Linked DNA regions of Rattus norvegicus. The protein of the gene in region 1 interacts with the protein of each later gene in a biochemical or structural test. Links are inferred from orthologs where the notes say so. Each region holds a gene or a part of one and is shown on either strand. Other genes may lie near its edges.

Region 1 (12,805 bases):
TTGTATAGGTCACATGTACATAGGCATTCACCTGAGCACACATGTATTCATACATGAAGTACATACACATGCACACACTCACACATACACACACACACACACGAGAGAGAGAGAGAGAGAGAGAGAGAGAGAGAGAGAGAGAGAGAGCGCAAAAAACATGACTAATATGAGATTTAGTTCTCAAAGATGTAATATCAGGGTAATGTTTTAGTTAATAATTTATTTGAGAAAATAGGCTGTCTTACATTTGACTATGAAATAAACACATGTTTAGACTAAACGGTGTAAGATTGCATTTTGCAGTAAGCTGGTAGCCCCATCTCAGTTTCTTTGCCTGTATAAAGGAGATAATAATGGCCTCCTGTGTTTGAGATGACGATGAACGTGCAGATTTCACTGGCCACATTGTCTTCTACTTAATTATCGTCCGGTTAATGTTAATAATAATTACAATGACTGACATAATATTGTGGGCAATATTTCTCTTCACGATACTCATGTAGACTATAAATATATGATTGGTTGGTTGGTTAACTTTTCCATTTTGACAGTTTTTCCAAAACATTTTCTTGGAAACTGTAAGTTCGTATTTTCATTAAGGATGAACCTGAAACCAGCTATAAAAAGCTAATCACTGTTTAAAAGGGATTATTCATATTTTAGTGGTACACTATAGCTTTTGTATCGTCACTAAAGTCTGATTGTAAGCATGGATTTGAGGCTTTGCTCTTATGAAAAACTCAATTAGAAGCTGAATACTTCTTATTTGAAAATATATTTGCAAAACCTAAGGGTTCACACTCACATAAACTAACCCTCAGTGCAAAATAAAGTAAGGAATGTAAAAAATGTTTCGTTTTTAGTTGTACATTTTACCATGTCTTAAACAAATATACAGACACATTACTTTGACATGTGAATATCAGTGTTTTAAAAATAATCACAATTTTAGATTAAAAATCACTTAATATATCCTGCTACTTCACCACAAGTTATTGCAACATTCAGATCTGGAACTTAAGTTGAACAGAACACTGCTCATAGCACATGTGTTAATGTAGAGAGCGCTTGCTGATCAGGAGAAAGAGATAAGGAAGAGTTAGAGCCATTAATTTACCCCACACCTGTATTGTTTGATCTTATTTTTATTTTGTGTGTTTTTATTTATTGAGTAATATAGACTTTAAAATAGTTTAAAGTTAACCGTTGTGGCTGCTTTTCACAGGTGGTGCTTGAAGTTAACAGTGAATTTCAAATCCAGGTAAGATTTGAAACCTTTTTTTCCCAGACTAATAGAGTAGTGAAGGCTTGTGACCTCAGCACTCCCGAGGCTGAGGCATGAGAACTGTGGATAAGCGGTCCCCTGGGCTACAGAAAGAAACCCTGTCTCAAATCATGTAATAAACAAAAGAAAAGAAAAAACTAGAAAGAGAAAATGGGGAAAGGGACAGAGGGACAGAGGGAGCAGACCAAAAGAGAGTTGACTTGGCTGTCCTCAAGAAAACCTTCATTCTTATAAATACAAAACCACTACAGTGGGACAGTTCCAACTGCTAAAATTACCAGAGTTCTTAGTTTGCCACTAAACTATCCATCTTCTCTTCCTGACATAATTGCTCCTCCTCCAAAATCCCCAGTGGAATACCCATAAGTAACAGTTAACAGACACAACGTTTTACCTATTTAAGGTAAGAGATCATAACGCCAAAAATGGTACCATCAAGTGGCATTCCATCAGAAGGCAGAAACGAGAATGGATCAAGTTCGCCGCAGCCTGTCGGGAAGGAGAAGACAACTCAAAAAGAAACCCAATTGCCAAAGTAAGTGTGAACCCAGAACAGGAGTCTGGACCGCACAAGGGCTAGGGCGCACTTCTGGAAGAGCCCAGTTTTCATGTGCTTTGTAAACACATATTACTGAAAAGGTACGGTCTAACAGCACCGCCCCACTCAAATTATGAAAACCAAAATTCCTAAAGGGATAAACCAAGAACGTTGGGTGCTTGAATAAAGCGCTAAACACCGTTTTGTCTCATTGGCAAAAGTAACACCCATGAACGTGCGTAACACTAAACTCCAAAAGGACCATGATTTACAAATGCATTGAGGACTCAACGTGGTCAGACCATGTGCTCTTTCTGCTGCATAACCCTCAGAATTAACTCCTGTTTGCCCATATTTACAAACATCCAGAGGTTGTCTCGTTCATAACCTCAAGCTCCTCTCATTCTCCTTCTTCTTTTTTTCATACACAAAAGCACAAACTCAGGAACCTACTCCCTACATACACACAGATTCACCCCCACAGACATGTAGATACACACACAGAGATGTAAAAACAGCCATTTGTACAGATACACAGGCAACTCCCTTGTAAGATTTGCTTATATTCATAAACTATTTAGAAGTTACCACCCTTTATTGGAGTGGGTACTTTCCTTCTCCTCCCCACTTTTAAAATTAGAAGTTTCAAATAGCCTGCTACTATAAAGTCCATTTAAATACTTTCCTGAATCTTTGTATTTTTAAAGTTATATTTAATTTAAATACCAACATTACATGATAACTCTCTAAGAAGGCTATCTCTAGACAAAGAGCTAGCACAGAGTCCAAAACTAATATGAAAATAAAACTATAAATGTTTGATGATTATGACCTCTATGACTGATGTATATAAAGACTTCTTAGGGTGACATTTGTTTCTTTATTGTTTGGTAGACATAGAAATGGAATTGTTTTATTACATTGTTATTTATCATTTCCCCGTTTCTAAAAACTCCCAGGTGATGTTGTAGACCGCATACTCAACAGTTCTCCAGGAAGACAGTTGTCATCTGTTGCGTGTAGAAGTTCACATGGCCCTTGTAACATCTTCACTGTGTCTTTATACAGATTCATTCAGATTGTGCTGCAAACCAACCAGTGACATACCGCATCTCCGGAGTAGGAATTGACCAACCACCTTATGGAATCTTCATTATTAATCAGAAGACTGGCGAAATCAATATAACATCCATTGTTGATCGTGAAGTCACCCCCTTTTTCATTGTAAGTGGGCTTTGTGTCAATATCTTTATTCAAGTAGATGTTATTCCTGGAAAAATCTTAGACCATACCAGATTTGATTTCAAGAGTCTCAATATTGGGCCTTCTGAGATCTTTCTTAATTCATTACCCCAATAGATGAGGAAATATTAATAGAGAAATGTTTCCCTTATGTGTTAACAAAAATCTTAGTTTACATCAGCTCTGTAACAAATTAATTTGTTTGGAAGGACAAATCTTTAACTTCTATTCAATCTTTAAAAGAGAAACATCAGTGGAAATCAATAGTTCCTTCTTTTCATTAATTAACTTATTTACTTTGCATCCAGATCAGAGCTTTCCCTCCCCTTCCCTCCCCGTCCCCTATGTCCCCCTGCCTTTCTCCTTTTAAGCCAAGGGATGAGCCTTGAGCTCCTGGAGGCCAGTTGTTTCATGTGAACAAATTTCATTATAATCAAACTCATCTGAGCTCTAAATTAACTTCAGAAACTCACTCATCCCTACCTGGCCTTATCTCTCTTTTTTATTCCTAGACACTGTCACACAACTTCAGTAGCCTCTCTTCTAATGTGCCTTAACCTCTGACTTACCTTTTCTCTTCTGTTCTCCTCATCTATCGACTGCCTCCATTTCCATCAATCACATGGCTGACATTTCTTAATTAAAAAAAAAATAAAATAAAAATGAAAACAAACTTTTCACTGATCTTACAGTCTCTTCTATTAAAATCCCATCAAAGATCGGAGGATGAAACTCAGTGATTAAGCATTTGCTGACTCCATGAAAAGGCCTGGCTTTGATTCCCAGCCCTGAAAAAAAATCATATTCCAAGCTACCTTCAGATATTCCTTACTTTTTGCTGCCTTAATTCACACTGCTCATCTGCGTCCCTAGAATTACTTTAATCACTTGGCTTCCAAGTCCAAATCGGTATTCCAACACTTAAGAATGCCACTTATTGTTTACAGTGCTCCTGACTATCCCTGACCACATTCTCTAACGTCCTCCTCTGGCATGGCTTGATTGTAAACATAGACTATGCATCATTCCTTTTATCTAACGTACCAGGATGTTTTTAAACTTGCATTGAATGCTCTTCCTTGCCTTGTCTTATTGATTGTATAAGTTGCTCGTGTCGCTGTTTTAGTGGGAAGTAATAATAATAATAATAATAATAATAATAATAATAATAATAATGTGTCCCTTAATCCTGTGGTACCCAGGGATGCCTGCATTCTGTGAGAAGTGACAAATACATGCCTTGCCACTGACTTTTTCCTTTCCCGTCTAGATCTACTGCCGAGCACTGAATGCACAAGGTCAAGACCTGGAGAATCCACTAGAGCTTAGAGTCAGGGTGATGGATATAAATGACAACCCTCCTGTGTTTTCAATGACTACATTTCTAGGACAAATCGAGGAAAACTCTAACGCAAGTGAGTCACCTGCACTATTAAAGAAACAATGTGTTGATGACTAAATTGCTGTTGCTAGGCAACGGGGCTGAGCTGTGGCAAGGTAAACATCAACTGGGAGAAAGTGTAGAAAGCATCCGGAACCAACGACTCAAGACATAGTTGTGGTGTCAGCCCAGGAGCACCTCCAAAGCAACAAGTGGGACTGACAGTCTGCCTTGTGCCCTAGCTCTTTGGAGATTCTTACACTACATCCCGACAGGATCTGCAAGTGCCTACAGGCTCGGAGAAATGGGAATTTACTCTCTGCCCAAATGTGTTTGAAAGGCAATTCCACTCACATATGATCAAAATCCTCACTTTCAATTTATTTTTTACCCAGACATAAGAAATGTTCCTCCTTATGGGAGTACATTATTCAATAAAATACATAATAACCAAACAAGGATCAAGAGAATTCCCCGGTCATTAACCAGTAAGCACTGAAGAATTCCATACTCTTCCTTCTGTAATCATTTCAAAATAGAACACAGATTGACACTCTATTCTGAAGAGCTCAAAAGAGCTCATGCATTGTAACTTAGATCACCACTACACAAATCAAGCCAGACACAAAAAAATAGACATCATATGTTCTCACTCATTTCCAAGGCAGAGGGATGGAGTAAACAGCGCCCAGTAAAAACTGGGGAGTAGTAAGTACCAGAAACAGAACAAAGTTGATTACCTTAAGTCACTCAAAGATATTCAATACACGTAATCTGTTTTGATGCTTAGAGCTTTTCTTAACAACAAATGAATGTCAAGAAATCTTTGCTTCCCATTTTTACTCAAGCTATAATAAATGTAGTCATTCCTCTTTATCTGGTTTGGTTCTAGGACCTCTAAAGATAAAGGGATCTATGGAGTTCATATCTTTTTATAAACCATATCTTGTTTGCATAGGTTCACATACTTCCCTTCACGTATTTTTAATTATTTCTATATGGCAATAATGCCTAATACAATGAATATGACATATAAATATTTATTGTCCTCATGACATGAAAAAGTCTTTACATAGTCTGTCAGATGTAATGTAAGTTCTTTGGATTTTTCCCCATTCATTCTGGGCTGAATTGTGGACATGGACCCCAGAGCTGCAGAAGGCCAATTACAATGATTCGCTTTGCTCAAGTTGCTGGTTTTATACATTGGAAATGTGTTATAAATGTAATTCCATAGGGCTCACCATAAATACTGGAAGCATATCTCTCAAATGGTGCTACCTGGTGGCACTAGCAGTCTAGTCCACTGTAGCATTTCTCTGAAAGGACTCTGACAATCTCGGAGTACAGTTGCTGCCCTATGGTTCCATGTACCTAAAAATGTAATTACCAAATACTCAGTAACTAAGTGGGACAGTGCCCACCATTGAAGATTGTTCAAAAGATGTGAGGCTAAGAGGGAGAGGCGAGAAAAGAGGAAGGTGAAAAAATGACCCAGGGGAAAGAAGCAAAAGGAGAAGGGATGGGATGTCCTGGAAGACTAGAAAAGTATGTTGAAAACAATTTAGAGTAGCAGAGCATTCCAAATGATGAAGGAATGTCAACAGCTTTCACACCCACGAGTGTCATTCATCAATACTATATACTAGATTATGAAAGAAGATACAGACAGGGCAGTGTGTGCGGTCAAACATTTCCTACAAGTTCCTAGTTACACAGCACCTACCCAAGAGCCAATTCCAATCTAAATAACAATGCCACTTATTAAATGCCCAAGATGAACAATAATATTTATTTAAAGTGCATTTTTCAGTGTAAACATCAGTCAGTATTCTCATTCGCTATTAAATTCTCACATGAACTTCATAAATACGGTGTTATTACCATTCTCATTTGTAACTGTGGGAAGTAAGGACAAGATCATGTGGCTATAAATAAGGTCCTATAGCACTGTTGAGAAACACATTAATAGTGTTTTCATGCTATTTTACTTAACAATAAGCATCTTGCTTAAAACAAGTTATGTTGGATAAATAAACAGAGTCAGGACACAGACTCCCTTCTTCCCTTCTGTAATGTCTAGGCACCTCTCTAACTGTGGTCTTTTTATTAGGACAAAAGTAAAGGGAGGAGCTATTACATTGGTATGTTGGTGTTGTCCAAAGGGGAGAGAGTTAACGCACGCTGTATGGACACAGGTAGCATATTGGACTGTAATGGTGTTCATTACCAATCCGGCCAACTGTCCTTGATTTCTAGACACACTGGTAATGAAGCTCAACGCTACCGACGCCGACGAGCCCAATAACCTAAACTCACTCATAGCCTTCAAGATCGTAAGACAGGAGCCTTCCGAAGCACCAATGTTCATCATCAACAGAAAAACTGGAGAAATCAGAACGATGAATAATTTTCTAGACAGAGAGGTAATCCTTCGTCTTTTAATGGATTTTAATTCAAAGGAACTGACTCTAAAGCAATGGTACTTAAGAGAAAGAAAAACTAAAAGAATGTGTTCAAGTGTTGTATTCTCTCTCTCTCTCTCTCTCTCTCTCTCTCTCTCTCTCTCTCTCTCTCTCTCTCTCTCTCTCTCCCTCCCTCTCTCCCAAAAGAAATAAAAGATCAAAACAAACTCACAAAAACTAGTGATAAACAATTAAAATAACACACACACACACCACACACACACACACTCAGAGACACACACACACACACCACACACACACCACACACACAACACATACACACACATACACACACACCACACACACACACACAGACACACACACACCACACACACACACCACCCACACACACCACATACACACACAACACACACACACACACAAACCACACACACACACACACACACAACACACACACAAACCACACACACACACACACACACACACGAGTCTGGTTTTTAGGTTACTTACATTTCTTTACTGACTTGTTTGAAAAACACCTTTAGAAAAAGAGGTATGGCTACCTAGCCTTTTCCTTTTCTCTCAGATTATTTTACATAGTCCAACAAAAAGATATTAGCATCAAAATAATTTTAGCAGTCGAGTTCTCTAAGAAAGGGGGTCAGAAGTTAAGGTCATCCACAATCATTGATGATTCTGCGGAACATAAACAGAAGTGCTGAAGTTATATCCATAAATGGGAATTATGTTTATGCACAAGTCTTCCCATAGCTTTTACCAACTTCTTTTTTTTTAAGATTTATTTATTATATATGAGTACCCTATAGCTGTCTTCAGACACTCCAAAAGAGGGTATCAGATCTCATTACAAATGGTTGTGAGCCACCATGTATTTGCTGGAATTTGAACTCACGACTTCTGGAAGAACAGTCAGTGCTCTCAACCGCTGAGTCATAAGGAGAAGTGCTGAAGTTATATGCATGAGTGGGAATTAATATGTTTATGCATAAGTCTTTCATAGCATTCACCAACTTCTAAAAATGGAGTCGCCACTGAATAGAATTAAAATAGAAGCATCATGTGACTCTATTTCTCATTCTCCCCCTTCCACTAGATACCACTGTACTTGTCTTAACTACTCAGTGGCGTATTACTCATAGCATGCGTCTTTAATGAACTAAATCTTTCTTACCTTAAATATTTTGGCCTGTCTCATCCTCTATACCCTTCTCTCTCTGCACACACAATGAATAAGTAATGAAGTCTTGAACAGCATGGTTGTGTCTTCGAGAGCATGCTGGGTAAGCGTCATGAGAAATGGACGTCACAGGTTCCATACTGAGTGATATGAGATCTATCGATTTTTACCTTCTGTTACCTTGTCTTCTATGGTAGATTTATGCAGATGTTGAGCCAGTGTCTACGTCCAGTGTACGATTGCCTGTAATGTGTCTTTTTCAGCAATACAGCCAGTATTCTCTTGTGGTGAGAGGCTCAGACCGTGACGGTGGGGCAGACGGCATGTCTGCAGAATGCGAGTGCAGCATCAGCATCCTGGATGTCAATGACAACATTCCGTACTTGGATCAGTCATCCGTAAGCAATCCTTCTTAAGGATCAGACTCCGCGACTTTACATTCTCCACATCCCAGTTCTTAAGGAACTCACTCAGTTTTCAGGTTCACTTGCTAGATTTGCTCTCTAGAACACCAGCGGAGACACACACTTTCTCTTGAATTGTTTCTTCAGTGGGCAAGTGGACTTGAACTAAGTATGCAGTTACACGCAGGGATGTCGTTAGCTATAAATAGTTAACTGTGAGCTTGGTGCAGACAGCTTGGTCCACAGATCTCACCCGTGCTTTGTTCTGATACTTTGCCTCTTGTTCCAGTATGACATCAAAATTGAAGAAAACGCACTGCACTCCAATCTACAGCAGTTCAGAGTCATTGATTTGGATGAAGAATACTCGGACAACTGGAAGGCAGTCATTTTCTTTGTCACTGGAAATGAGGGAAATTGGTTTGAAATAGAAATGAATGAAAGAACAAATGTAGGAACTCTGAAGGTTGTCAAGGTATGGCATGATTACCCTAAACCATTTGTTTTGCTGGTCTTTTTCTATTTCATAACATCAAGTTAAAGTGATATTAGCATTTCATAAATGAGTCTATGAAATAACAAAAATCGCCAAGCTTTAAAATTATGCAAAGTACAAGTAATTTCAATGTGAATGTATATGCTTATACAATCTCAGGAAAACAAGCATTAAAGATTTGAAACTCTTTTTACGCATGCAATTCTTTCCAAAGATCAGGTCTGGGAAAAGCATTTCTATATAAGAGGGTTTCAAATTTTGTTTACATTTATTTAAAGATTTACTTCATCACTCTGAATTGCATGTGTGTGTTTCTGTATCTGTGTAAGGGCATGTGCACATGGATGTAGTGCCCTCGGAAACCAGAGGTACCAGATCCCCTCAAGCCAAAATTTTGTGTGGTTCTTAGCTGATCAGTGTCTGTCCTGGGATCTGAGCTCTGGTCCTCTTCGAGAGCATTATGTGTTCTAAACCACTAAACCATTTCTCCAGCTTCAAAGTCAGTAATTAAATAATATTTTTAAAACCGGATTTTTAAATATGCCCATGCCAACATTGAGATGCTAATATCATGCTTTAGGAATATTTATCATAAAAATTAAGAGTTGATTCCCTCCCCCAGGATGATAAAATTAAATCATTGTGATTCTGCTAGTGTGGTTCTATGGGATTAAACGGTAACAATCATAGAATTATAGAACCTTCGTATTCTCATTTCACCATGGCTGTTGGCCAGGCTTATTTTAGTTCTCCTCTGTATCAACCACTCACCACATGTACATTCAGTAAGATATCCTGTGCAATGTAAGGTGAAATCTGACTCAGGAGAAGCTGAGAGTGAAGATTTCAACCTCTTTAAGTCTTCAATAATTGTTGACAGTTGTATGTGACACTCACAGTGAATCATTCAGGATACAGCACAGTCCCTCTTCATCTACCTCTTACTTTCATACCTCCACAGGGGTGTAGGGGTGGGCTCCATTCCCTGAGAATTCTGCCTCTTAGTGTAGGCCCAGGGTTCCCCTAGCTCCTTCACTCTGGTCTCTCCAGACTTATCTTTAATCCAACTTGAGTCTGCTTTTCAGAGTAACCTTATGAAGCAGATTTCCAATAGACTCGGTCCCTTAGGGAAGTGTGGTCTCATGACTCCCATGTCTCTTAAATTTGTATTCACTGAAACTGTTGCTTCCATTTGCTTGAAACAGGTTCCAGATGCTTCTGATCAGCTCCTCCAGCATCCCTTGAAAATTAGGTTATACTAAATCTATATTGTGACAAAGATATGGAGGCTCAGAAACCATGCAACCTGTCCTAACTTTTACTACCAGTAAATGACACCGTCATTTAATCCTAGGTTTCCTTATCTATTAAATTCATTTTTTTCTGGTACTATCTAAAATTGAATGCTAGGAAAATGAATTCTGAATCTATTCACTTTCAATTTAATGTTACTCTTAAAATTACTCAACTTATCTGCTCTTAATATCTCTACCTAAAAACTAGGATGCTTTTCCCTGATATGATAGTATACATCAAATCCTTTACTATGATTATGGAAAAGTAATATGATAACTACTTTATTATAATTATGGAAAAGTAATAACCGCACACACTTATATATGTTATAATTGGTGTTTAAAGTTGCAAATAAAACTAATTCTAAATTCCAGAATTTTAGATGATCAGGAGAGCTCAGTGTATGAATATTTTATTTAAGATATTCATAAAAATTCAGAAAAGATATATTTGGTGCATGAGGAATACATCAGCCATCTAGTAAATTCTATGCAGCATGGATTTGGATATCAACTTGTATAAGAAAACTTACTACTTGATTATCTTATAGTATGAAATAATTTTAGAACATATTGAAGAAAAGCATATATGTATGCATTTATGTATAACATTGACATTCAAAATGTCACACTGAGGTGAATATTTTAAATAGTTCTTCAGGGATAAAACTAGTTAAGTCTCTAATATATTTGATTCATGTTTTGTTATTAAAAGAGTTACTGTGTCAGAAGCATGAAATGTCAGCTAACAAATTGTCTTTGCACTGCAAATGTATTAAGTGAATCATATTTTGAATTTAAGCAATTAACTGGTTTGGTGAGCAATTGGAGCTCATGACCCATGCTTTCAACCTTTTCAACAAAAGATCCAGGACAACTAGATTTTCCCCCTTCCTATGCTTGCATGTGTCTACCTTGAACTTAATACCCAGCAAGTAAGACTAGACTGGGTAATCACGTGAATTTGAGTTCAAACACATAATTCAAATAGTAACATAACAAATGTCTTTGAGTTGTCTCAAAGGATTTCTCTGTCCACTGAATGGTTTTCTTACAGCATAACTAATTCTCTCTGTGTTTTCTAGCCCCTAGATTATGAAGCCATGCAGAAACTACAGCTTAGTATTGGTGTTCGAAATGTAGCTGAATTCCACCAGTCAATTCTTTCTCAATATACACTCACAGTGACTATGATCACTGTGAAGGTATTGAATGTCGTCGAGGGCTCTGTGTTCCGACCAGGTTCAAAGACATTTGTGGTACATAGTAGAATGGACGCAAATTACAGAGTGGGGGAGTTCACAGCTACAGACCTGGACACGGGTATGACCTCCACCAATGTTAGGTAAGAATGGCATTGTCTAACTAAAATGTTAACCTTAGGGGATCACGAGAATGGAGAGGGAAAGAATGAAAGCAAGAACTGTTTGGGGAAAGGGAGGGAAGCAGCTAGGAGGGCAGGCAGCTTGAGGTGGGTGGGAGGGTAGGAGATTGACTGAGCACAAAGTGTATTTGACAAAGTATGTTTCCAGACGCACTTGAAGAGGCACAAGAAACCCATTATTTTGTATACTAACCTTTCAAATGTAATTTTACAATGTCATGATTTGAAAGAGAGCTTTGATTTTTGCTGTATTCTTTTAAATACAGATACGTAATGGGAAACAACCCAGAGGGCCTGCTGGTTGTTGACTCAAAAACAGGCATAATAACTTTAAGAAACAGAGTTACTATGGAACAATACCAAAGGCTTAATGGGAGATATGAAGGAACAATGCTATCAATAGATGGTAAGAAATCAATTTAACTTCCAGAGGAAGCCAAGTATAAATATTCTTAGACAATTTAAAATTTTTATTGTAAAAAGAAAACCTCTTTTCTAGATCCCTGTGAGGAGAAGGGGAAGGGACAACATGGGAAAGGATTTGTAAGGGTAGAGCAGGGAAGAAGGAGCTGTGATCAGAATACAAGTGAATTTGAAAAGCCCCTTTTCAATAGAAGTTGTCCTGTTGAACTGAGCACTGGATACTCAAACTGACCTGTCTCATCATTTACTGCTTATTGGATCCTAGAGAAGCCACCTCACCCATCTACACTCCAGTCTTCTGCACAATGGGGAAATAACAATATATGCTGATAAATGTTTTTTTAAAAAAGGAAAGAAAATAGCGAGACATGTAAAAATAGCATGAACATCATTAAATGACCTTTAAGGTCAGATAACCAGACTTCGAACCATGTCTGCTGCACATCTCCAGGGATTTCATTTCCTTTATTCACAGAGTATTTACTGAGTCTTAACTAAATAATGCTAGTCATCCTGCTAGGCTCTAGGGCTCTGTCAGTGAAAGTAAGACTCATATCTATAGAATAGCACAAAACAAACTCAGCTCGTTTCTTTATTCCTATCTGATAATCAGTAACAATGATCGTTGGGAAAGCACTAAATATGGAGGGCTGAACAGAGATGATAACACCTGTGTCCTTACCAGTTCTATTGAAAGCAGGTAACTAAGGACGGAAACTATAGCCCATTCGCT
Region 2 (12,805 bases), on another chromosome or scaffold:
TTGAGACTCCAGACTCATCCTTCTCACAACCAGGGAAGCTACCTGACCTCAGGTTACCCATGTCTACTACTGCCCAAGTCTCTTTTGTCCTAACTATATCTAGGGAACAACAGCTAGAAACTACCAACTACCCTCTGGTTTTACCCTACACCATCTAACCCTTAAACTTCCAGGCTGATTCCAGCACCACTTTCTCCGAATCTGCCCGTTCCTCAAACTCGACTTACCTATCAGTTCATCAAATGTCCTCTACTGCATACACGGCTCAACTGGTCAGCCCCAAGGGCAAGAGATTATAATGTGGGCACTACCCAGAAGTTCTCAGAGGGCAGGAGGATGTCTGTCCCTGTCACTGCTCTGGCCCAAGGCCCAACATGCTCCCACCTGTAGCTCCAAGCTTACTCAGAGCCAGATATGTTTGAGAGACTCAGCCCGGGAAAGGATAGTCTGGTGGGAGATGCGGGGCAAAGGCTGGGGAAATGGGAGGGTGGGAATCCTCACCAGGCCCTTGCTGGCGGTCAGGTTCTGCAGGGCCCCGGCACAGGCCTCCAAGGTAGCGTCTTTCTTGCTCTTGCCCATGAGGTTCAGGTAGGTGCGGATGGCATCTGAGTGGTACAGCCAGCTGCTGCCCTTGGGGTTGGTCTCTTCCTCAGGGAGTGGGCAGTCATAGTTGTTGTTCTGTAGACAGACAGCACGTCAGTGAGGAGCCTGATGATATAACATACCCAGGCATTCTGCCTCTCCCCCAGTTTCAGGTTGTGGGTTCTGTTGGGAAGGATAGGGGAAGACTGCCCCCATGTTTCTCTTTCTTCTGTGCATCCCAGGACCCCCAAAGTGAGAGAACTGACTATGGATCTCTAGATGGTCTCTGGGGAGCATCTCAGAAGTATGTTCTGGGCAGCATCACCCCTGGGCCTCCAATTGTGTAAGGCCACACTAGGGGCTGGCAGCAAGATGCTGAGAATTTTAGCTACTTCGGGATGTCCAGGCTAACCTGGCTTCTACATCCTGGCTTTCGTCTATAGCGTCTTTCTTAGGAGGCCCAGGAAGTGCTAGGAACCTTTGCCCAAGATGGTAAGAGTTCTTTCTACTGTTTCTCTAATGCTCAAAGATCAGGCAGAGAAGGATGGTTGTCTCACTATACAGTAAGAAGAATGGAGGCCTGCAGAAAGGTTGGCCTGGGCTGCTACAGCCCGTGTGGGTTCCCTGCTGCAGTTCCTGGATCGTAGTATCCTTCCAAGAACAAGGCTTTGACCAGGACCCATCCTTAGGGTTGTTTTCTGGTTCCAAGAGGAGAGGGCTGCAGGAAGGTAGACCTGGTGGGTGCTTGGGGAGGGGCCCTCGCTCCACGGTGGGCACTACTCACCATCATCTTGTCACCCCTGTTGCTGAAGCAGCCAGTGGAGGACTTCTCGGTGTAGGCATTGCGGGTGTTGTACTCCAGCTGCCGGTAGCGGGTGGGCACCTCGGCGTCCAGGCGGTATGAGAGGTTATGCAGGATACACATGCAGTTCTCCACAGACTGGGGGCAAGGAGAGATGCCTGAGTACTGTGCCAACAGATTTCCGGGCCCGCCACCTACTCTGAGTATTCAGAATGGCCTGTACCACTGTCAGTCTGGAAAGAACTCACAGGTGCACCCTGGGAATAGGACATAATCCCAGCCTCTGTTACTTCCTGCCTGTCTGAGTCTGTACGACCTGCCACACCTTTATGGGCCTCAGCTTCCTCAATTGTAAACTGGGCGAGCCTCACTTCTCTTGGTTAGTGGAGTAGATTATGCACTAGGCCCTCAGTTCTGCATGCACCCACAGAATCAACAAATCGAAATTAGTTTTCTTTTAAAAGGCATTTCTAAACATATAGATTTCTTTCTAGGCATTATTAACAACTATTTATTTGGCCTTTATATTATACTAGGTTTTCTAAGTAACTTACAGATGATTTAAGGTACACAAAGGAGTGTGAACAGGTTATATGTGAATATACCCTCTATACGTTCCTTTTATGGAAAGGCTTGAGACTGTGGATTAGGTGTGCATGGGAATTTGGACCAACGTCTATGGTGACTGAGGGGCAACTGCACACGAAAAGGACCAATCATGGAGCCTTGCACATAGCACACATAGCAAGCAGTAGTGACCACTTACTGCTACCAACCACATGGGGGGCAGAAGACGAAAACGTCTTCTCCAGCCCCAGTTCCTTCTGGCTTTTCAAAGCATCTGGTCACTACAGTCTTTGCTGTCCCCTCTTCCCATGGTCACCCCATAGCCTCCAGCATTAAAGATGCTGCCTGCATACCGACAGTGAGGCCTGGACTCGGAGGACCTCACAGGAGCATTTGGATTCACAGCTGATTTGCTTTCAGTGAGCCTCCAGGGTAGGGCTTGGGAGTTACGCTTAGATCAGCACTTGGTCCCTGTTAGGACCAGGGTGAACCTGACTTCTATTGCTTTGGGGCTATCTGGGTAAAGGAGATGTGCACAGAGCAAGAGGAAGGGAAGCTCTTTGTCCTGCAGTTTAACAACAAGGCTGTTCTTGGAGGACCTGCTATCGCTTCCATAGAAGGAAGCAAGAGACAGAGATCCCCCTTCACTGATGTCCCTGGTATCCTGGGTGTGGGGACGGACTAGACCTCTGTGTCCTGAGCTGTGCTCAGCTGTGCTGGGAGTATCCCAGCCTCTATTTATTTTTTCTTCACAAACTGCTTTTCAATCTGTGCGTGCTGCTGCATCCAGAAGTCTAGAGAAGGCAAGAGGGTGACCTTCCAATGGTGTTTCTGGAGGTGAAACTGGTACAAGTTTCATCTCAGAAAGGAAACGGGGCCCCTAAGAATACTTTTGTGGCCTCAGCACCACAAGAACAATGTGGTCCCCCGAGCCCAAGCACGTTCCAGATGTCTCCTCCACTGTTCCTGCCTCTGCTCGTGTTCTGTCTCTGAGACAGATTTCACAAGCACTCGGAAAGTATAACCTTGACTTACGGGTTCTGGGAGAGAAATATCAGGACTAGGAGAGTCCCCGACTTAAGTGTGTGGCCCTGGGATTTGCAGCTATGGGCACAGACTGCAGGATTGGGGATGGAGGGGTCACCAGGGGCCTGCACCCTCACCTTGTCATCGCAGCGGCTGGCAGCCACACAGTTCTGGACATAGGCCATGAGGGAGTCAATGAGCCCAGAGTAGTTCCGCATAGTCTGGCGGCCAGCATCAGCTGAACTCAGATTCCTGTGAGAGAGAACCGGGAAGGAGGATGTGGATGGGGTGATGAGAGGGCAGGGCAGGGATGAGCAGAGTGCAGTGGGCATGCGCAGTGAAGAGCGGCAGACAGCACAGTGCAGAATATAAAAGTTGTAGCCGGAAGAAGAGGGGAAGAGAGAAAAATAAATGAAGAAAAAGAGAGAAGGAAAAGATTCATTCAGGTCTGCCTGGCCCCGGCTGAAAGGGGTCTCCTTTGAACTCAATTGTTTCTGTCCTGTAGCCCCAGGAACAAGACCCTCAAGAGCTCCACCGCATCTGGCGGCCCAGCTCCTGCCCTCTAGTGGCCATATGAGGGTCAGGCGTTTAGAAGCTGCTGCTTGTATTTTTTTTTTTTTTTTGTGGAAGCAGAGCAGATCTGAGGAGGTGCTAGACCATAAGGGTTAACCTGGGGTCCAGATGTAGTTGTCTTTAATGAAGATGTGTTCGTTCCCAAGCACTGTGGGTCCTCCTGCCTAAGGTGGTGTGTATGGTGCATGCACAGGATGTGTGTACGTGCGTGCGTGTGTGTGTGTGTGTGTGTGTGTGTGTGTGTGTGTGTGTGTATGTGCGCTGTCACATCCAGCAGTCATGTGGCCCCATAAAGTCCTTAGTTACTCTGACTTTTCATCTACCTAGCCTCTTTGTCTCACAGCCTGGAGGCCATGGCTGGAGGCTGGTTGGGAGAAGCACAACGGGAGACACAGAGCGAATACTAACTTCACCCCTACTCTGGAAGTTCTCAGAAGTTCTGGGGGACAAATTCCATTGTGGCAAGTGAGACCCTAAAGGGGACCTTGCTCCATGGTTTCCGTACTCCATGCCGGTAGCCATCCCGGAGCTCTGAGAGCAGGAATATCCAGACCCCACCAGGGCTTTGCCACACCCTGCTCTGGAACTCAAACAACATTGGGCAAAGCAGCACCATCTCCATGCCAGTGAACATGGCAAAGGTTTCTGCTCTCAGGCGGGAGGTGACTCACAAGCAGCCAATCAGTAAACTTTCGAATATGAGAATGTTCTTCAAGATAGCACAAGAAGTACATTTTTCCGTGGGCGGAGGAGGGGTTTTCAGTTGAGCCAGTCTGGCTATTCCAAAGCAGGTCATTTCTACTCTTAGATTCCCAATGCTGTCCTTTATTTAGAACCTCTCGGGACGTTGCAAGGCATAGCCAGACTCACAGACATTGGTAATGCCTGACTCTCTGTCCTGGAGCCAGCCCACAGAAAGCAGGGCCAGGCCAGCAGAGGCTACTCTGGCTGGATGTTGGCTGAAATGGGGGCTGGTTGTGGGAGGGCCTGAGCGGAAAGATCTGACACACCCTTTTCTCTCACCTCAGGCAGCCTGTGGCATTGAAGAAGACCTCGGGGTCCACTACTTCCCGGGACATGTTGCTGTTACCATCACACCAGCCAGAGAAAGGGATGATGACCCGGTCAGTCAGAACAGGCAGGGCATCGGCCACCAGTTCCTCCTTTAGCTCGTCAGTGGAAGACAGGTTCCAGAGCAGCCCTGCACACAGACACAGTCAGCTTAACATGGCGGGCTCTGCAAACCTGAGGTCTAGTGATACTGCCCTGAGTCCTAGCTCTGACAAATGGCCACCTTCCAGGTAGGCTTGGCCCATCAGACCATGGTCTGATTCCTCATGATCCTGTGCTCAGTGCCCATGTCGACTGCAGGTTCTGTGAGGTCTGAGAACATCTCAGAGTTCTCTGCCCAGGTAAGAACCAGGCACAGGGATAGCCCCTGAATTGCAGTCAATTGCTCAGCGGTTTTTAACCATATGTTTTGGGACTCAGAACTGCTCAATGTTCTCTGTTTTCCATTTGAAACCATACATGGAGAATATCAACCGTGACAGCGGGTCTAGGAATTCTTATCAGTTTATTACTCTGAACATTTTTGTCTTCTCTGGTCTAATTCAAGGTCTTCGTGGTGGCTTCTCCACCCTGTACCCCATCTCGAGTGCTTCATGTACTTTGTGAATACAGGGTAAGTGTACTGTAAACAGTCATCCCTTGAGATCCTCTCACCCCGACCCATGGACTTAGCTCCCCTTTTATCACCCGCAAATCCCAGTACCCCCTACCTAAAGCTCCTTCCCTTGCACCCCAGCCTTGAGGATGCCTTCCGAAGGGTGAACGCCGCCCCAGGTGATCATCTGGGTGCCACCATTTCCATTGAAGCCAGCGCCATGGAGCCCCTGAATTGTGGCTCAGTAACACCCACCCGGCTGTGCCTCAGCCTAGCCCAGAAGCATGGGCTAGAGACACAGCCTGCCATCTTGCCCACTCCCCACCCCGGTTTCTCTTCGGTAATACCCTACCAGTCAACTGTTTCTGGATCTCCGTGCTCCCGCTTCTCCTCAGGAGGCTGACAGCCTCACGGATCCCATTCTGCCTCCTGGTCTCCAGCTTGTTAGTGGTGCTCCTGAACACCAGATTGCGCAGAGCCCCGGCAGCAGCCTGCTGGACATTCTGATTGGGGCTGCGGAGGAGGTCCACCAGCTTGCAGATGCCCCCCAGCTGATAGACCTGCCGAGAGAGTTGTTATATATCATCTAAAGGAAGGGAGGGTGGGATATTTTTTCTCTGCTCAAAGTAACTGGTTTTCAGACCAAAACAAAAATCAGTTCAGGAGCGTACAAGTCAGCCACAAACAAATGCAGCAATGAGATTATGGGACTGACACAGACATGAAACCCTGAATTCAGAGCTTAGCTCCATCCTCTCCTACTCAGGGCCCTAAGCAAGTCTCTCCTCTGTCTGGAGCCATCTTTTCCTCCTCCGGAGCATAGTGAAGGCCAGAGGAGAAGATGGATCTCCGTGTACATCAGAATCCCAAGGTGAGGCAAACACATACAAGGTGCCACAGAAACTCTCCCATGGTAGAAATTTTGATGAAAACGGCCTCCATGCTTCTTGGAAGCCACTTGTGGTACACATAGCTGTTTGTGTGTTTATGAAGTGGTCTTGCAAGTGTTTTCCTAGCTGGCCAACTGTGTGCGGGGGCATAAATGAGTCCCGTTTTCACTGAGGGGAGGGGCTGGGAGGGAGGGAGTTGGGGGCTGGGAAATAGTCATATCCTTTAGTGGAATCTGAGGGAGTGGGTGTCTGTGAAATTCATGGCTGTCATTGAGCCCTGGGACTCCTCCGTGGCTGCTGTAGGACACGATCCTCCCACTGGGACCAGGGTTGCTGTTTGTACCAACCCTGCAGCAGCTGCAGCTGCCTGTAAGAGACCCTCAAGATTGGGTTTGCTGAGGTCTGGGGCGATGGGTCAGTGGGTAGGGTAGAAGTGCTTGTCCCAAATCCCGATGATCTGAGTTCAACCTCTAGGATGCACACAGTAGGTAGGAGAACTCACACAGTTGGAGGACTGAATCCTGACAGTTGTTCTCTGACCACTTCATAAACACACTCATGCGCGCGTGTGCGTGCGCACGCACACACACACACACACACAGAGAGACAGAGAGAGACAGAGACAGAGAGACAGAGAGAGACAGACAGACACACACACAGAGCGACAGAGAGACAGAGACAGAGAGAGACACAGAGAGACAGAGATAGAGAGAGACACACAGAGAGAGACAGACAGACAGAGAGAGAGACAGACAGACAGGTAGGCACACACACACACAGAGACACAGAGAGAGACAGAGACAGAGAGAGACAGACAGACACAGAGACAGAGAGACAGAGACAGAGAGAGACAGAGAGACAGAGAGACAGAGAGACAGAGAGAGACACAGACACATACACAGAGAGAGACAGAGAGACAGACAGACAGATAGGCACAGAGAGAGAGAGACACAGAGAGACAGAGAGAGACAGACACACAGAGAGAGAGACACACACACACAGAGAGACAGACAGACAGATAGGCACACACACACATACACACACACACAGAGAAAGAGAGAGAGAGAGAGAGAGAGAGAGAGAGAGAGAGAGAGAGAGAGAATAAATGAGTAAATAAAAATTAAAGATTTAAAGATCGGGCTTGTTACTAGAAGGTGGGGATGGAGAGAATCATTGACTCTTGAGAGTCCAGCCACTCCTTCCCACACCTCCCTCCCAGAGATATTTAATTCTTTCCAAGGTGCACAGATCCTGGAGGTGACAGAGTAAATAGTATGTGAAAGGTTAGATGAAGATTGAGGGGGGTCTCCATCTACACATCTGTGCCAGGACGAGACTTGTTTTGGGGTCACTTGAGCTCTTGTAAGTTACTCACCCACCACGCTCTATAAATAAGCCCAATAAACCCATTGGCATGGCAGCTTGTGTTCTGATGGGATGGGTATTCTGCTCTGTCATTGGGACACTGTCGGGGGGCAGTTGGTCTATCATCGGGACACTGTTAGTGGGAGGGAGTGACAGCTGTTTATTTTATATCACACTAGGGAAAGTTCATATAGCAATGGCCAGTGGGGGAGATACCATCCAAAGTCCACACAGGAGGCCTCCTCTGCAGGTTAAGATGAAACTCTGCTCTTGCAATGGCAGGAGCACTCCCCATCCCAGTGTCTGGGATCCAACTGCTCAAGCGTCCACTCCTCTCCTATGGTGGGGCCCAGGCTGACACACTCAGGACCCACCATCGAGGAAGGGATGCGGCCGGTTACCTGTTGCTTGGCAGATTCATCCTGGAAGCAGGTGTGCTGGATGTAATAGGCTCCGATGGCCTGGTACTTCTCGTCCTGGGAGCACAGGTACTGCACAGCCTTGGGGATGGTCAGCCCGCTACACTCAATGTCCTCACTGCAGATCCTGAAAAAGTAGGGTGCAGGGCATTACAGCGTGAACATGGCGACTCCAGTGAGCACGCTCTCTACATTCCTCCTCATACACTCAAATACCACGGCTTCCATGTGCCCTCTAGGGAAGCTGAAAAGGACAGGCTGTCTTGGAGAAAATCTTGTGAATGGCTCCCTACAAGGAAGGAAAACGGCCGTGTGCTGGGTGTCCCTCTCGTGGTACGAGATTGCTCTCAGGGGCTAAGGCCAATACGTGACAGTTATCTTCATATTGTGCACAAACTTGGCCCTCTTTCCTGAGAGGGAACTCCTCATCTATCCTGTGGTTGTGTTTGTTCCTGGTCCTGGAAGAGTAAGTGAGAGGCCTGTCTACTCTGTCTCTTTTCCTCCCCACATCCAGCTAGATGCTTGGCTGGTTGGCTGGTTTTTCCTTTTTGTCTTTTCGAGACAGTTTCTCTGTGTAACAGAACCCTGGCTGTCCTGGAACTCGATTTGTAAACCAGGCTGGCCTCAAACTCAACAGAGATCCTGTCTCTGCCTCCCAAGTTTGGAGATTAAAGGTGTGTGCCATCACTGCCTGACTTCCCTTCCAGGTTCTCTCTCTCTCTCTCTCTCTCTCTCTCTCTCTCTCTCTTTCAGTCTTTCACGTCCTGACAGTCACTGTATTTGTCTGTGTTAGGATCACTTTCATGGGACTAGTGGCTAGAGAGCCACTCCACCCACCATAGTACAGTCTGTGACTTGGTCCTAAAACCCTGCCCACTGGATTGTTCTACAGCTCAGAAACCATCCACTCCATAGGTCAGGTTCATGCCCACTGCTTAGACTGTCACTCAAGCTCGTGCATTAGGTTGAACCACAGCAAATGTCTATTAGTTCACCGTTTTAACTGAGTGTTTGGCTTCGCTGCAACCTCTGGCACGTTCCCTAGACTCTGGCAAGAGTCTGTTGGTTGTAGCAAGGCAACCTCAGTTCCAGGCATGAAGGCCTAGCCCAGGCCTGCTGAGTCTCCCTTCCAGGAAGCCTTTCTAAGGAAGGGAGTCCTCGGCTGGGAACTCCCTGAGCTGCCACGGTGTGCAGCCACAGGCAGCCTTTGCACCCGAGTGTGTCTTCCTTCCAAGTGGAGAGAAAAGGGCCCAGAGGGCAGAGACAGACCCTCTGTGGTCAGCCCTACCCCACCGATGTCCTCAGCATCTGCAGAGGGAACCCTCTCTTCATTTTTATGAGACTGACGCTTTGGCCTAGCTGGTGCTCAAGGAATAGCCATAGTTTTAGCTAGGGTCATCCAACTTTGTTTCTGAAGGGGATTCTACTCAAGGGGTAGAATTCTCTGGCCCTGGGATAGCTGCACACCTGTTCTCTATCGAGGAGGCACTGCCTTCTCTTCATCAGTCAAGTGTCCCTTCTGCGTGGCTTGTCACTCAATCCTAAACCTCCATTTTGGGGCAGATGGCGCCATGATTAGTCTCCCAAAGAGTTTCACAAATTATTCTAAATACATCTTATGTACTTCAAGGGGTAAGTACGTCAAGATACACTAAGCACATCTTGTGCTTCAAGGGGTCCGCTTTAAACTGGATTATGCTTTCTTTCAGAACAGTGTAGACTGATAGGAAAGAGTACAGGGTAGAGAACCAGATGTGTGGCCTTGGGGCAAGCTTGCTGTCTCTGGCCTTTGCTTACCCCTCACCAGGGTCTGCCTGGAAAGGGGTTGGACTAGGAGGGACACACAGCACCTTGGTCACCAAGAATGTGTTCCAGAGCTGCCCTGGGCTGCCAGCATGGCTGTGCTTCCTATGCTCGACACACAGAGTGTGGAGTAGATGCTCCCTAAATAGCTGCCCAATAAGTGAGTAGCTGTTATTAGGTCATAAGAAACAGTGGAAGGTTCATGCCGCTCTGAGCCTCAAAAGGTAGGTTTAATGTTACTGTGGGCCCAAGGTACCTGTGCCTATGGCTCTCTTCATGGTGTGTGTGTGTGTGTGTGTGTGTGTGTGTGTGTGTGTGTAACAGAGAGAGACAGAGATAGATAGAGACAGAGAGACAGAGAAAGGCAGAGACAAAGACACACACAGAAAGAGAGAGAGAGAGAGAGAGAGAGAGAGAGAGAGAGAGAGAGAGAGAGAGAGAACACATTGCTAGGACCTCCAGATGTCTGTGTTGGGTCCAAGAATGATTATTTAGTTTCAAAAGCTTATTTTAATTATTTTATATGTGTGGGTATTCTGCCTGCATGAGTATCTGCGTACCACTTGCATAACTGGAGGCTGGAAAGGGACATTGGCTCTCCTGAAACTGGAGTCTCATAGATGGTTTCGAGTCACAAACGTGGGTGCTGAGAATCAAACCCGGGTCTTCTGGAAGAGTGGCCAGTGCTGGTAACTGCTGAGTCATTGCTCCAGCCCTGAAAATAAGTATTTCTAACACTTTCCCAGGCACTGCTGTTGCCGATCCGAGAGACACAGTGTGGCAGCAATTAGCCTGCTAATCTCTCTGTTGCCACCCTCTGTTCATAGCTGGTCACCCTTAAGTCCTGTGTCCACAATGTCTAGCTTCTGTGGCCTTTTCGCTTCTAAGGCTCCTCTAGATCCATGGTCCATCAGACCAGAGACTCCTCCAGGCGTCGATAGGAAAGTCAGAACACAGACTGAGCCTCTCCCTTCCTCCTTGGGAGTGAGCGACCCTTGCAGAGTGAGCCAGGCTAGCAGATCACCTCCCACCTGTCCCCTCCACAGCCCTGCAGCACTCACTTGGAACTGGCCCTTGAGTGGCCAAAGGACATGTCCTTGTTGCAGGAGATAGGCGGCATGCACACTGGGTCTTGCTTGGAGGTGCAGGAGGGCGGCCTCACGGGACACTTCTTGACAGCCTTCTGACCGCTGCAAGTGCTGTAAAAGCTGTATCGGTTCTGGGTGGTCTTTTGGCCCTTGCCGCCCAGTGTGCCCTTGCGCAGTGTGCCCCTCGGGTCACAGTAGAGGTCAGGCTCGCTGCGGCTTGCCTTGATTTTCTGCATGAAGCAGATGTCACTGCCAGCGCCTGTGGTGGCACAGCTCCCTCGGGGATAGTGCCGGCTCCAGTTCTCCATCTGGCTATAGGAGCTGAAGCGTCTGTTGTCAGGCTCCCGCTTGAGGGTCCCATTATAGATCTAGACAGGAAAGGGGCGAGAGGATTAGTCTAGCTCTTGACTGGGAGCCTGGATCTAGCTGTCCACAGAGGTAGCCCTCCCTTGCCCCATTACAGTGTTCAGAGGATCTGGAAAAATTTGCAAAGAGAGGAACCTTAGGCATTTTTTCCCCCAAATTCAGGTTGTGGTCTGCTGTGGAATATGAGATCATTTTAGCAGATATGTCCACCTTTATTACAAGTATAGAATAAAGAAAAATACTGGAAAACATACAATACAGAGTGCAGGACAATAGAGATATAACTTGTTTTGTGCTACATTGAATACATTCTGAGTTGCAATGTAAAATGTATTTTACTTTTAAATTCTGAAAAATAACTCATCGTATGTACATGGGTGTTCTGCCTGCATGCATGTCTATACACCACGCATACGTCTAGTGCAGAAGAAGGCACCAGAAGAAGTTGTCAGATTCCCTGAAACTCCAGTTACAGATGGTTATGAGCTACCATGTGGGTGCTGGGGATTGAACCCGGGTCCTCTGGAAGAGCAGTGAGTGAGTGCACTTAGCTGGTGAGCCATCTCTGAGCCCTGCAAATATACTTATTGTGGGAGTATGTGAAAGGAAGCTCTATACCACTGATCTGGCCAATGGGCAAAGTCTAAGATGGGGGCTGCAAGCCAGAGAGGAGGGGTCCTCCAACAGCCACTCAGCATGAGCAGCACCCACGGGCTTTTGTCCCAAGTCCTCGCCTTGTCACTTAGGCCATCCCACAAAGCAGCTGACCGGTCCAGCTGGCGTCAGCTCGTGCACATGTTTGGAAATGTCTATTTTATTTGAGCTACTAGCTAGGGAGCCCCTGTGCACACAGAGGTGGTATAGGGTACAGGGTGGGTGCAGGGAAACCTCTGGGCTGTGTCATCAGGCTGGCTGGGAGAGACGCAGAGCAGAAACTTATCCGAAGGGAAAATGTACCATGAACCGTGAGATATCCCTAAGGGTCTTGTAAGTCCAACAGAGAATTATTTCTTTGGGAGGAGCCTGCAAACCCAGAGGCTTGGTGGGAATCAGCTCTGGTACTGAACTGTCCACAGAAGACTTTCCCAGACCCGTAAGCTGGCGGGTCTGGCCTGCTGGAACTTGTTCTCAGACAACAGGATCAACACTGAGCCTGATAAAACCTCCCCATACAGGTGCCGACTTGGGAGTCACCTTTGCTGGGATGAGCAAGTCCAAGTCCAGCCCAGAGGCTGCCCACCCAACCCTAAGAGAAGAGAGAAAACGGGATCAAACTGTGTGTCTGTCTGCAGGGATGGCTGCTGTGTGACCAGCAATTACCATCTACACTGGATCTCGCCACACAGGACTAAGGAGGGGCTGTTGGTCTGGTTCCCCCAAAGAACGGTGTCAAGCTACTAGTTGGAAAGTGGTGTCCAAAACCAGGAAGCCATATACTGTTAACCTTGGTGAAGGCAGGTACTCTCCCTTCACTCAAACCAAGCGGGCGCAATTTTCTTCCTCAAACTGGGTCAAACCACCCTGCCACACGGTGAGCTGGCCTGTGGGAGTTGGGAGAGACACAAACAATGCTAAGGCAGAAGCTGGAGGAGCCGGTGGTTTTCTTGGCATTTGGACATAAACCGGACTCCTTGATGACTCTTTGCAAAATTTACAGA

Evidence for each region.
Region 2: the proteins of Dsg1 (region 1) and Pkp1 form a complex in vitro, tested with the Homo sapiens proteins (2 studies listed by BioGRID and IntAct). The link is inferred for Rattus norvegicus from reciprocal best matches to the Homo sapiens genes DSG1 and PKP1.

What each region holds. Positions count from the first base shown.
Region 1 is NC_086036.1:11,957,288-11,970,092, forward strand, and holds part of Dsg1 (desmoglein-1), read left to right. Parts: intron 1-1,225; coding exon 1,226-1,261; intron 1,262-1,688; coding exon 1,689-1,820; intron 1,821-2,891; coding exon 2,892-3,047; intron 3,048-4,335; coding exon 4,336-4,480; intron 4,481-6,705; coding exon 6,706-6,872; intron 6,873-8,333; coding exon 8,334-8,468; intron 8,469-8,763; coding exon 8,764-8,949; intron 8,950-11,350; coding exon 11,351-11,610; intron 11,611-11,915; coding exon 11,916-12,055; intron 12,056-12,805. UniProt on the Homo sapiens protein: Component of intercellular desmosome junctions. Involved in the interaction of plaque proteins and intermediate filaments mediating cell-cell adhesion.
Region 2 is NC_086031.1:49,868,578-49,881,382, forward strand, and holds part of Pkp1 (plakophilin-1), read right to left. Parts: intron 11,150-12,805; coding exon 10,755-11,149; intron 8,018-10,754; coding exon 7,873-8,017; intron 5,777-7,872; coding exon 5,569-5,776; intron 4,752-5,568; coding exon 4,574-4,751; intron 3,230-4,573; coding exon 3,115-3,229; intron 1,523-3,114; coding exon 1,367-1,522; intron 679-1,366; coding exon 502-678; intron 1-501. UniProt on the Homo sapiens protein: A component of desmosome cell-cell junctions which are required for positive regulation of cellular adhesion.